Linked DNA regions of Arabidopsis thaliana. The protein of the gene in region 2 interacts with the protein of the main gene of each other region in a pairwise test. Each region holds a gene or a part of one and is shown on either strand. Other genes may lie near its edges.

Evidence for each region. The genes of interacting proteins can lie anywhere in the genome.
Region 1: the proteins of EMB1968 (region 2) and PME31 interact in binary tests that used the Arabidopsis thaliana proteins (3 or more experiments, as listed by UniProt).

Annotation. Positions count from the first base shown.
Region 1 is NC_003074.8:11,071,514-11,075,978, reverse strand, and holds PME31 (pectin methylesterase 31), read right to left. Parts: upstream 2,334-4,465; 5' UTR 2,176-2,333; coding exon 1,930-2,175; intron 1,861-1,929; coding exon 1,756-1,860; intron 1,546-1,755; coding exon 1,468-1,545; intron 1,326-1,467; coding exon 1,138-1,325; intron 1,064-1,137; coding exon 890-1,063; intron 807-889; coding exon 644-806; 3' UTR 501-643; downstream 1-500. Other genes in the region: VTI13 (vesicle transport V-snare 13), read left to right, coding at 1-63. UniProt on the Arabidopsis thaliana protein: Acts in the modification of cell walls via demethylesterification of cell wall pectin. Acts in a blockwise manner, resulting in a cell wall rigidification.
Region 2 is NC_003070.9:7,613,513-7,619,259, reverse strand, and holds EMB1968 (ATPase family associated with various cellular activities (AAA)), read right to left. Parts: upstream 3,647-5,747; 5' UTR 3,586-3,646; coding exon 3,542-3,585; intron 3,456-3,541; coding exon 3,377-3,455; intron 3,233-3,376; coding exon 3,153-3,232; intron 2,657-3,152; coding exon 2,534-2,656; intron 2,445-2,533; coding exon 2,375-2,444; intron 2,294-2,374; coding exon 2,220-2,293; intron 2,019-2,219; coding exon 1,898-2,018; intron 1,820-1,897; coding exon 1,757-1,819; intron 1,672-1,756; coding exon 1,612-1,671; intron 1,513-1,611; coding exon 1,387-1,512; intron 1,304-1,386; coding exon 1,217-1,303; intron 991-1,216; coding exon of another isoform or gene 938-990; coding exon 839-937; 3' UTR 694-838; downstream 1-693. Other genes in the region: AT1G21695 (hydroxyproline-rich glycoprotein family protein), read right to left, coding at 1-128; AT1G21680 (DPP6 N-terminal domain-like protein), read right to left, coding at 4,112-5,747. UniProt on the Arabidopsis thaliana protein: May be involved in DNA replication and thus regulate cell proliferation.

The DNA.
Region 1 (4,465 bases), on a different chromosome or scaffold from region 2:
GCGATAATCACAGTCCTTGTCCTCGCCATTATCTTTATCTTGTACTTCAAACTCACCAGGTGAAGCCTTTTTCTCTTCACCTGCCTGACCAATTTCTAACTGAACAACTTTCTATTGCTATGGTCGCAATTTTGTTTATGATAGATCTGAGAATCTAATATTGATCTTCTATGCTATTTTAACCTGTTCTGTGTGAAGCTCTTGTTAATCTTCTGCTTGATGTTCTTCACCAAACCTATCAAAATCTGTAAAAGCAAATCAAGAAGATAGTTACATCTAAATTCTAGTGTTGTAGAAACTTGAAGTTTTAGTTGGGTGGGAAAAAAATTGGGGCATTCCGAGAATTGAACTCGGGACCTCTCGCACCCTAAGCGAGAATCATACCACTAGACCAAATGCCCATTTTTATATAATCTTATTTACACAAAAAAATAACCAAAACATTTTACCAATTTAGTTAAACAAGAAGAAACTATGAAGTGTATAATCATAGTTTCTATAGAAGATCCTTTTGTAGTGCACTTATTGACTTGGACAAAAGATAATCCAAAGTTTGATACTAGGGTTGTTTACAATAGGTTCTTCATGATCCTTTGTTATTCTAGGCCTCACCATGGCAGTTACAACATTTTTTTTCAGTACTCTAAGCCGAATATGGTGTTTTCACACCCATTCTTAGACACAACCAAGGCCGGTCCTGTTCAGGATCTACAAAACTATGATGCACAAAGTGTCCAGCTTCGTCATCCATCAGTTCTCTCGACCACGGAACACGTTCAGACGAACAGCTACCCGGACCAAAGCACCTACCATTTTACATCCAAAAGAATATCAAAAAACTGTTTCGTGATTACCACTTGTTGCAGTTAAGAGATGTCATATGATGTACCTATACTCATAAAAGCAAGCACTTCTCTCGTTCTCTGCGTTTCCCCAGTTATGCCAACCCACATTTCTGATACACGCGTCCATGTAAGTGTAAGCAAGGACTACCCTCCCAAATGGTCCCCATGGCCTTCCGAGATACATATACCCGCTCTGACCATTACCCGTGATCACACATCTGCAAACAAGTTAGTAGAAACTCAGTTTCCTTGGAAGAATGTAGAAGTTGTAAGTAATCCTTGTGAAGCAGACCTTAAGAATACATAACCAGTAGATTCCTGAGACGATTTTCGGCTTTGTGCTGTTATAAACCCCTGAGATTTGCAGTGGATATGGCAGTGTTCCAAGAGAGCGGTACTGTTTCCAAATATGAAATCCACACTTCCCTCGATGTAACAGTCTTTCAAATATTGTTTCCCATGATGTAAATACAATGTATCCTGCATTTCACATTTTGCAAATAAGCTATAACAAGATTGGATCAACCTACTTGCAATATACCACATCTAAACTATGAACAACCAACACAAAGTTTCCACAAGTTTACACAAATCATTTGAATCAAAGGACTGATAAACGAACCTGCCAACCGAGAAATCGACAATTATAAAAGGCGCAACGGTCTGCAGTGACTCGTATCGCCACAGCTTGCCCTGATCCCTATATACAAAGTGGTCAAATAACATAACTAGGATAAAAAATCACCATAGACAACTCTTAATTCTAATCTCAGCAGAAGAAATTTCCAAACTTTGAATCTGAACATTAATAAGAACATACAAAGGAAGAGACTTTATAGATCCCTAAACTAATTTGAGTAAAATTTCTAAACTTTGTGTAGTAATAAAGGAAGAGACTTTATATGATTACCTCAGGAGCAGAGTTCTCAAAAGTAATGTTCTCTGCAATAAAATCTTCACCTTCAACAATAACACTACCACAACCAAACGTACCAGTCCCAATGACTCTAGACGCCTGCAAAACAAAACAACCAAATCAGAGCCGTACACGTACCAAAAACACTAAGAACATAGCAAACGTTACCTGGTGATGCTCAATCTTGGAAGCTGTATTGTTCCAAGTCAAAACCGTGATCTCCGGTGAGATTCCGGCGAAGGTAATGAAATTCTTCCTCTTGGGTACATACACAGGTTGCCGATAAATCCCAGGTGAGAGACGAATCACAGTTCTGCAAGTGTTACCTAAAGGCACCGAATCAATTGCGTCTTGAACAGAGCAGTAATCTCCCGAACCATCTTGCGAAACCCTAACCATTCGAGTCGTTGCCATAGTTGTAAAACCCTAGTGAGAGTGTCTAGGAATCGAAACAGAGGTTTTTGGGTAACGATGAATTGCGTCGAATTGTGGTACAGAGGTTTAGGTGTCGGTATTGTTCGATCACCATCTGTGTGACGTTCTTTAGTTTTGTAATATTTAGTGATCAGGATACTTATTTTTAAAAATTCGTGAAACCTCCCTTTATTTATGTTTATTTGTAAATTCACCCCAAATTTCGTGAAGGAGCAATTCTAACCAGTCCAAGTCCAGCCGCAGGAATTGTTAAAGAATTTTTTGTTGAGACGAAAACTGTATTCCCTGAAAGAGAAGAAGTATAAATTCTTCTGATTTCTTTAAATTCTTGTTTTTCTATCCATGCACTAGTCACAACATATATCTTTTAATGGTGGATGAATTCTTTTGTATTTCTCAATAGTCATTTCCCATGTATTATATACTATTGAACTAATGTTATTGATTCATTTTTGTAAGGATAATCTATTTTATTTTCTACAGCACATATTTCAAACCATGCAAAAAATAGAATATGTACTTCATATCTTTATACCATAATTCTCTTTAAAAAAAAAATTCTTTGAAGGTGTCAAAGTACCATTTTTCTTTATTTTTAACTTTATTGGATAAAAATTCTCCTTTAAGATATTTTTTTCTCTAATTTAAATTTGATATTCTTTGTCTATTTCAAATCTGAAACTTTTGGAGAAGTAGGAAAACTAGGTGATACGACTTCTATCAAATCACCTAGGTGAAATTTGATAGGTTTATTCTCTTTTTTTTGTGAATATTTTTTCTGTATTTTTTTCCGAGTTAGTAATAGTTTGGCTAGACCTATAATCGGAGAAAAAAAAATGTGCATAAAATGAATTTATTCCAAAAGAGGGTGAATTTCTAAAGGATCTAAATTTTAATAATACTTTTCATCATATTGTTTGGTTCTACGTGTAACAGTTCTTTGTTCAAAGTTTGTTGGTGTTTGAGTAAAATCGATTTTCCATTGGTCTAAATTGTAATTTGTGTTCATTTTAACCGTTTATGTGTATACGTAGAGGGTAGACTATTTTACCATGTACAACTGATATTGTTGTTTGTCCTTTATCATCTAGGAATAAACAGATTAAAAAGAGATGTAGATTGCTTAAAATAAATTTGATACACCAACAAAATAGCCATGTTTTTCTTGTTGAAACTTATTTCAATCAGGTGTATATTTTTTAAACATTTATTAAATATTGTAGAATCATGTAATATTACTTAAAAGTTTGGAGTACTATTAAAATATATAGCTCCATTACATAAGTTTGATTGTATAATTCCTAGTAAAGAGTCGTCAAATTTAAAAGATATTTATCTCGCAGTAACATAAGTATCAGAAAATTAGTCTCTCATTGTAGACAATTTTTATTGTTATTTGTATTAGGCCAAAATGAATATTTTAAATTTCTCTCATTTATAATTTCTAAAGCCACATATGAGAGAAACTTGTTGTATTCAAATTCCTTATGTAAATATAGAGTTTGTTCATGTTCTTTTATTGAATACTAGATCATGACCCGCACATACATGTAGGTATTTTTGTTTAATTAATTTTGTTAAAACTTTTTTGTTAAAATAAAACGTGTACTTATTTTGTGATATTAAATTTTATATTAGTATATATATTTTACGTAAATATTATACATTTAATTGTTTGGTATTTTTAATGTTGGTAAACTGAATTTTATTTAATGTCTGATCTATTACAAATGTAGAGAATAATGTTAATTTATACAATTCATTATGATTTAATTGAAAAGTTTGGTTGTGTTTTTTGGATAACTGAAAGTTGATTTAGTTAACAAAAAACAATGTTCTTACAGAATATATTCCTATTGTAATAGTTAGAATAAAAAAGTTTTATTAGTAAATAAATTCTATTTCTTATATTTGTAAAATAATAACTACTATCAAATTCTTCACCACTCTCCATATCTGATGAACCTGTGTAGCTTGTTCACTTTTCTTTAGTTGACTTTCAATTGCATTCTTCACCATATATTTATAGTAATCTAGTTCGTGAATTGTTTGATATAGGGTTTAGGAAAGTACAACCTAGAATAATATTTGTGTATAATGTTAGTTAAGATATATACTTGATATATTCGGGTATTTAATTTTATTAATTGTTCAATGACAATCAATTGAATCGAATATATAGATTTAGTCGAATTTGAAGATCTGTTTTTTGATTTGAATTTATAAATTACGTTGTTTAAGGAATATATCAAACGTTTTCGAAACAAAT
Region 2 (5,747 bases):
TTAGGAGGAGGTGGTTGAAGAAGAGCTGGATCATCATCACCGGGTCGGGTTTTAGGTACACCGGGTCGGATCTCCCACTTAAAAGGCACAGCTCCGGGTCTCTTGAAAGAATCGTCACCATCGACCATTAGGTAAAAGTAAACAAAAGCGTTTCTGTCTTGATCAAATTAAGATTCATAAGGATTCTACTAATAAGAAACTACTTATAGATTTAGATTAGATCAATTATTTTTAGAACGTATCCAGATTTATGACAGTTTTATGTGAAGACTATAACATTCAACGAATTTTGTGTCTTGACAGCATTTTTATTTATTTATGGCATTACTAATGTTTTCTATAGTTTGGATGTGTATCCGAATCTTCCTTTTATGTGGATATGTATATTAATCCTCTTGTATTTTATTACATTTTCGTAGGATTTTACTATTTTGATTATTAGAGGTAATAAATAGAAAAATATAATTATATAAATCTACTATATTTTTTATTTTTATATTTACATTTTGGGATCTACACTGTATATATATCCAACTAGTAAAGAAACACATTACTCCTTTTACGGTGTCAATATTGGATATAGATAAAGGGATTCACTAATTCTTACAACAGAAGCAATGTCCATCAAGCTATCTGGTCATGATTTTGTTGGTTATAAGAGATGTTAATTATTTTGATTCGATCATGTATTTCACATTGTAATGATATTTAATGATCTTACCCACAAAACAAATAGACTTAAGTAATGATGCAATAAATATATCTAATAGTTTTTCTTAAAACAATAACAGATAAGTAACCAGTAAAACGTCATAACGCTCCAACTTTTTATCAAAACCTACACTATGATAGTCTCATAAGTCTTAAGGCACAGGTCCAATTCAAGCAGAATTTGCATTAGAAGTCTTGAGCCATTTCTGAGAGGGCACAAATTGTACTGCTTGCCACATCCAGAAGCTGCAAGTACTCATCCGCCCCGTCTACAAGTCGCTGGATACATTAAAAATAAAAGATGTGAGATATTTTATTATCACTAGAGGTAACAGAGACATCCTTAGCAAGATTGCAACATATCTACAGATTCAAATGGCAAAAATCTAAGATGTGAACTTCACTCAAAACCCGTAATATAATTGAGTCAAGATGTTGGTAATTGATCTCACTTGAGGCTCTAAAAGAGACACAAGTAAGGAAAATTAGTACGGGAAAGTCTTACCTTATCAGTTTCAGCTAAACATTTGCAGATCTTAGCCTTTTGCATGTCTGTTATGTCACTGTCAGCCTCCGCAACTATATCGAATAGCTGAAAGAGTGTTGTATAGAAGGGGTTATAGCCACAGTTGCATGACTTAAATGGGGTAAAAATAAGAGAGGAAAATAGAAAACCTGATTGATGATTTGAGATGCAGGATATCCTTCTGCAACTATGTTATCCACTTCCTTGTTTGCAATATCGAAATCACCACTTTTGCATGCAGTAAAAAGTTTATTGACTACCTCTAGAGGAACTACCTGATAGATTCGTTAGACATCCATATTAAACATCAGCAAGTCTGACATGGCTGAACCTACCATACACTTATGCAAATATTGGGTTAACTTCATCCTTACCCCAGACACATTGAGTAAATCTGTAGAAGTTATTGTTGATCCAAACAACCGAGTAGCACTCTGCAATATTCAGGTAGAAAGAGTGTTTCACATTTCTATGGTCGATTTCGTCTAGTAACAAATATTTCAGATAGTTTTATCTTACCTGCAGATATGTGATGGCCCTACGGAGATCACCTTGTGATATGGAGCTCAAAGTTGAAAGAGCCTGAATAGGAAACGGCTACAATAATCAGCTTTCACAAAACTAAAATAATACGGAAAACATTGAAGCATTTGCTCATACCTCTCCATCAAGGCTGAGACCTTCTTCATTACAAATATGCAATATACGGTTACTCATGACTTCTTCGGAAAGTGGTTTAAACCTGAACTTCGCACACCTGGAAGCAAGGGGCTCTATGATCCTACAGAACAAGAGATCAAAGTTTGTAAGGGTGATCAAAATCAGTAGGTTCATAGTTCAGCAAGTAGCTCACTATGAGCATGTTCCAAAATATAACAAAAGTATAAACGAAAAAGCAATCATTTTCAATAACCAGAGAGAAAATTGGAGAACAAATGAGAACAGAAGGAAAAAAAATAAAAGGCTGTTGTGACAGAATTACCTGCTGATGTAATTACATATGAAAAAGAATCTGGTGACTTTGGAGTAAGTTTCCATTGTGCGCCTCAAGGCATTCTGGACAGTCAATAAAATAGCTCATGGTAAACACATATCAAACGTACAAATGCGGTAGTGAATAATAGATGTTCAACGTACCTGAGCATCTTCTGTCATCGAATCAGCCTCATCTAGGATGATGATCTTAAACGATGGGCAAGGATAACCACTGAAGTATCAAATCGAAGGTCTTAGATGAAATGCAGAAACGAGAAAATGACCCCAAAAAAAAAAAAAACTTAATAAAAAGTACGACACCTTTGACGATGATTAGACCCAACAGCAACAGCAGCAAAATCCTTGATCTTAGTCCGAACAACATTAATACCTCTGTCATCACTTGCATTAAGCTCCAACACCCTAGACTTGTATAGTTCAGGTCTGTAAACACTCTATAGTTAGTTCACATGCCCATTGTAAAAATCCACATAATATAGCAAAATGAAATAACAAAACAAGGCCAGGCTCATGAAAATAAATCTGTGATTATTACTCTCAAAAGAAGCTGAAACCGACTCATATGGGACGACACCCATGGAGGCAATGGAAAGAAGAACAAGACAATTCAGCTTCAAAAACTAACCACTTACATAGAAAAATCATAATGATTACTATTCCTATGAATTCACATCTTGGTATACTGTCTAGCTACCTAATGGGAGAAGTTGGTATATCATTATGCAACCACAGAGTCTGAGTGTGCATATTATATCAGCTTCTACATAAAAAAAAAAAAAAACCGAGTTATTTGAATCACAAATCTGAATGTATCATATTAGAGATCACAAGGTCTCATACAAACTAAGTACACACAAATGAATCAATCAAAAAGTCATCCGAATTTCAGCTATCACAAATTATCAAATGAATACGTTACCCAAAGAGCTGGTGAGCGATGGCAAGAGCAGTAGTGGTTTTTCCAGTGCCTGGTGGTCCATAGAAGAGCATGTGCGGGCACTACAACAGAGAGACAAACAAAAAATTAAAACCCAGAATTGAGAACCAAATTCGACATCTAGGGTTTTTCACACTTGTACAAAATCAGATTTTAATAATTAGGGATTTGTTTCGCGATAAACAAAGAGGTTATAGTGAAATTACGTCAGCAGTCTGGAGAGTGTTGGTGAGGACACGAACCACCTCTTCCTGGTGAGCCACGTCCTTAACCTGCTTCGGCCGGCTAGATCCAAATCGGAAACAATGAGTTTATTAAACCCCACATAAATTCCGTCAACGAAATAAAAAATCAGTGAGAAGAAATCGTACTATTTCTCAACCCATGGCTGTGAGCTCTGAAGAACTGGCGCCATTCCTCTCTCTTCTTCGCCTCTTTTTTCTTCTAATTTTTCTCCGGTGACGGAGAGACTCCTTTATAAACATTATCCGACGTTTTCTGGATTTTCCCGCCCCCGCCTCAAACCTTCCAAGTCACGAAGAGGGTTTGATATCTTATCGACTGTTATGACTTTTGACTCGCACCTAATTCTTCAGACATTACATGGATAGTAATCTTCTGACACGTACGCAAAACATAGTAATAATGTATCAAAACTGATTTATAAACGTGATTAAAGAAGAGATTTTGGAATTTAAAAACCTGTCTTCAATCACGCTGAGATTGAATTGACATTGGATAATTCATGAGGATTCCAAACCGCAATAGCAAGACTATCATTTAGAAGAGGGTTTGATATCTTATCACGACTGTTTTGACAATATGATATACATATCACATTAACGATCTCTATAATACAAAGTCTTATGCATATACAGTGGCAGTCTCATACAAATCTATAAGTAGAGTTACAAGCTGGGATACAAAACTGTAGATACATATTAACAAGATATTTTTCGGCCTTTTAGTGTAGGGTACTTGTTGAGCCAGTGACAGTCTTCGAACGAGCACCTAGAATCATTCCTCCTTTGTAGCTCCACATTGTTGGGGTGGATGAACCGAGGGGCCCATGCCGGTGTCCCATCTTCATAAGAGTTATGCGTTAGCCTCCTCACATTAGAGCCATCTAATTTCACCGTGAAGATATCACCGTATGGCTGGTAATGATGCGGGTTCGAGATCGGTTCCGCCGAGATTCCAGCATAATCAGAAGTGAAGACTAATGATTTACTGTCCGGGCTGAAGATCGGGTGGTTTGTTCTCCCACCCGTCCCGCTTTGGATGAGCTTCCTTAACCCTGTTCCGTTGGGGTGGATCAAGAAGAGCTCAAAACTACCCGAGCCAGGGCTTTCTCGATCTGATGCAAACGCGATCCATTCCCCATCCGGTGACCAGTTACACATTGTGTCGGTCCACGCACCTTCGGTTAACCTCCATAGACCACCGCTTTCTCCTTTCTCAGCATCCATTATGTAGAGGTTTTTGTGACCAGTCCGCCCCGAACGAAACACTATCCGCTTACCATCAGGAGATGGCCAAGGGAAAGCATTGTTCTTCCCGTTTGTCGTTAGCCTCCTCACGGAAGATGACTTATCGGCTGCATCAACGTCAATAGAGATAACATCAACCTCTGTTCTCTCTGTAGCAAACGTTGGACCTGAGCTAGAGTACACAATTCCAGGTCGAACCGGATCCCAAGCTGTCGAAAACGCCATTCCCTTGTACACTTCACGCTGCCCTGAACCATCCGGCTTCACCACAAACACACCAGGCATCTTAACGTATGCGATACGATCACCTCCAGGTGAGAACGAAGGAAACGAACCATCAATTCTAAAGAGAGAGAGGTCCCTTGTAGTGGTTTGAATATTTTCAAGGAAGAGCAGAGGACTTCTCCGTCCATTAGCATCGCCTCTACAACTATGATATCCGACTCGAGACGAGTCAGGGGACAAGAATGGATTCAAGTGATGACTCTTTGGCGCCACCAAACGAGTCAACTCTATAAACTCATTCCTCTTTAGATCAAACAACTCCACGTGGCGGTAATCCGAGCCTGGTCTCCTTGTAGCTACCGCAACGAACTCGTGGTTGTTTGGTGACGTGGCCGGTGTGAAAGCGTGAACTCCCGGTGGTGTGACTCGCTGAATTGTCACCGACTCAGTAGTCAACGGTCCGTTTTCAGGTAAGATGGCTCGGTAAACGCTGATCCAACCATCCTCCTCACTTCTTCTATGGAAATACAGAGTCGACTCATCAACCCAACACGGCCAACCACCGTGCTCCACCACCTTGACACGGTGAGACCCATCCCGAGTCAAGAATACATAGATGTCCGTACGTAGCTCTTCAACTTCCCCTGTCCAGCCTCTCTCTCCGTATGAAGCCACAGCCGTTAAATTTCCGGAAGGCGATACCGCCGGGCTGAAATCAGCTACACCACTCGGTGTTAACCGCCTGGTTAACCCGGTTTTTAACTCGGTAGAGTAAACGGCGGTCCAGCTTGCTCTCGGCTCACCTGAGCTCTCATGGGTTGACACGTAGACAATAAACTCACCACTCAAACTAGGCTTATCT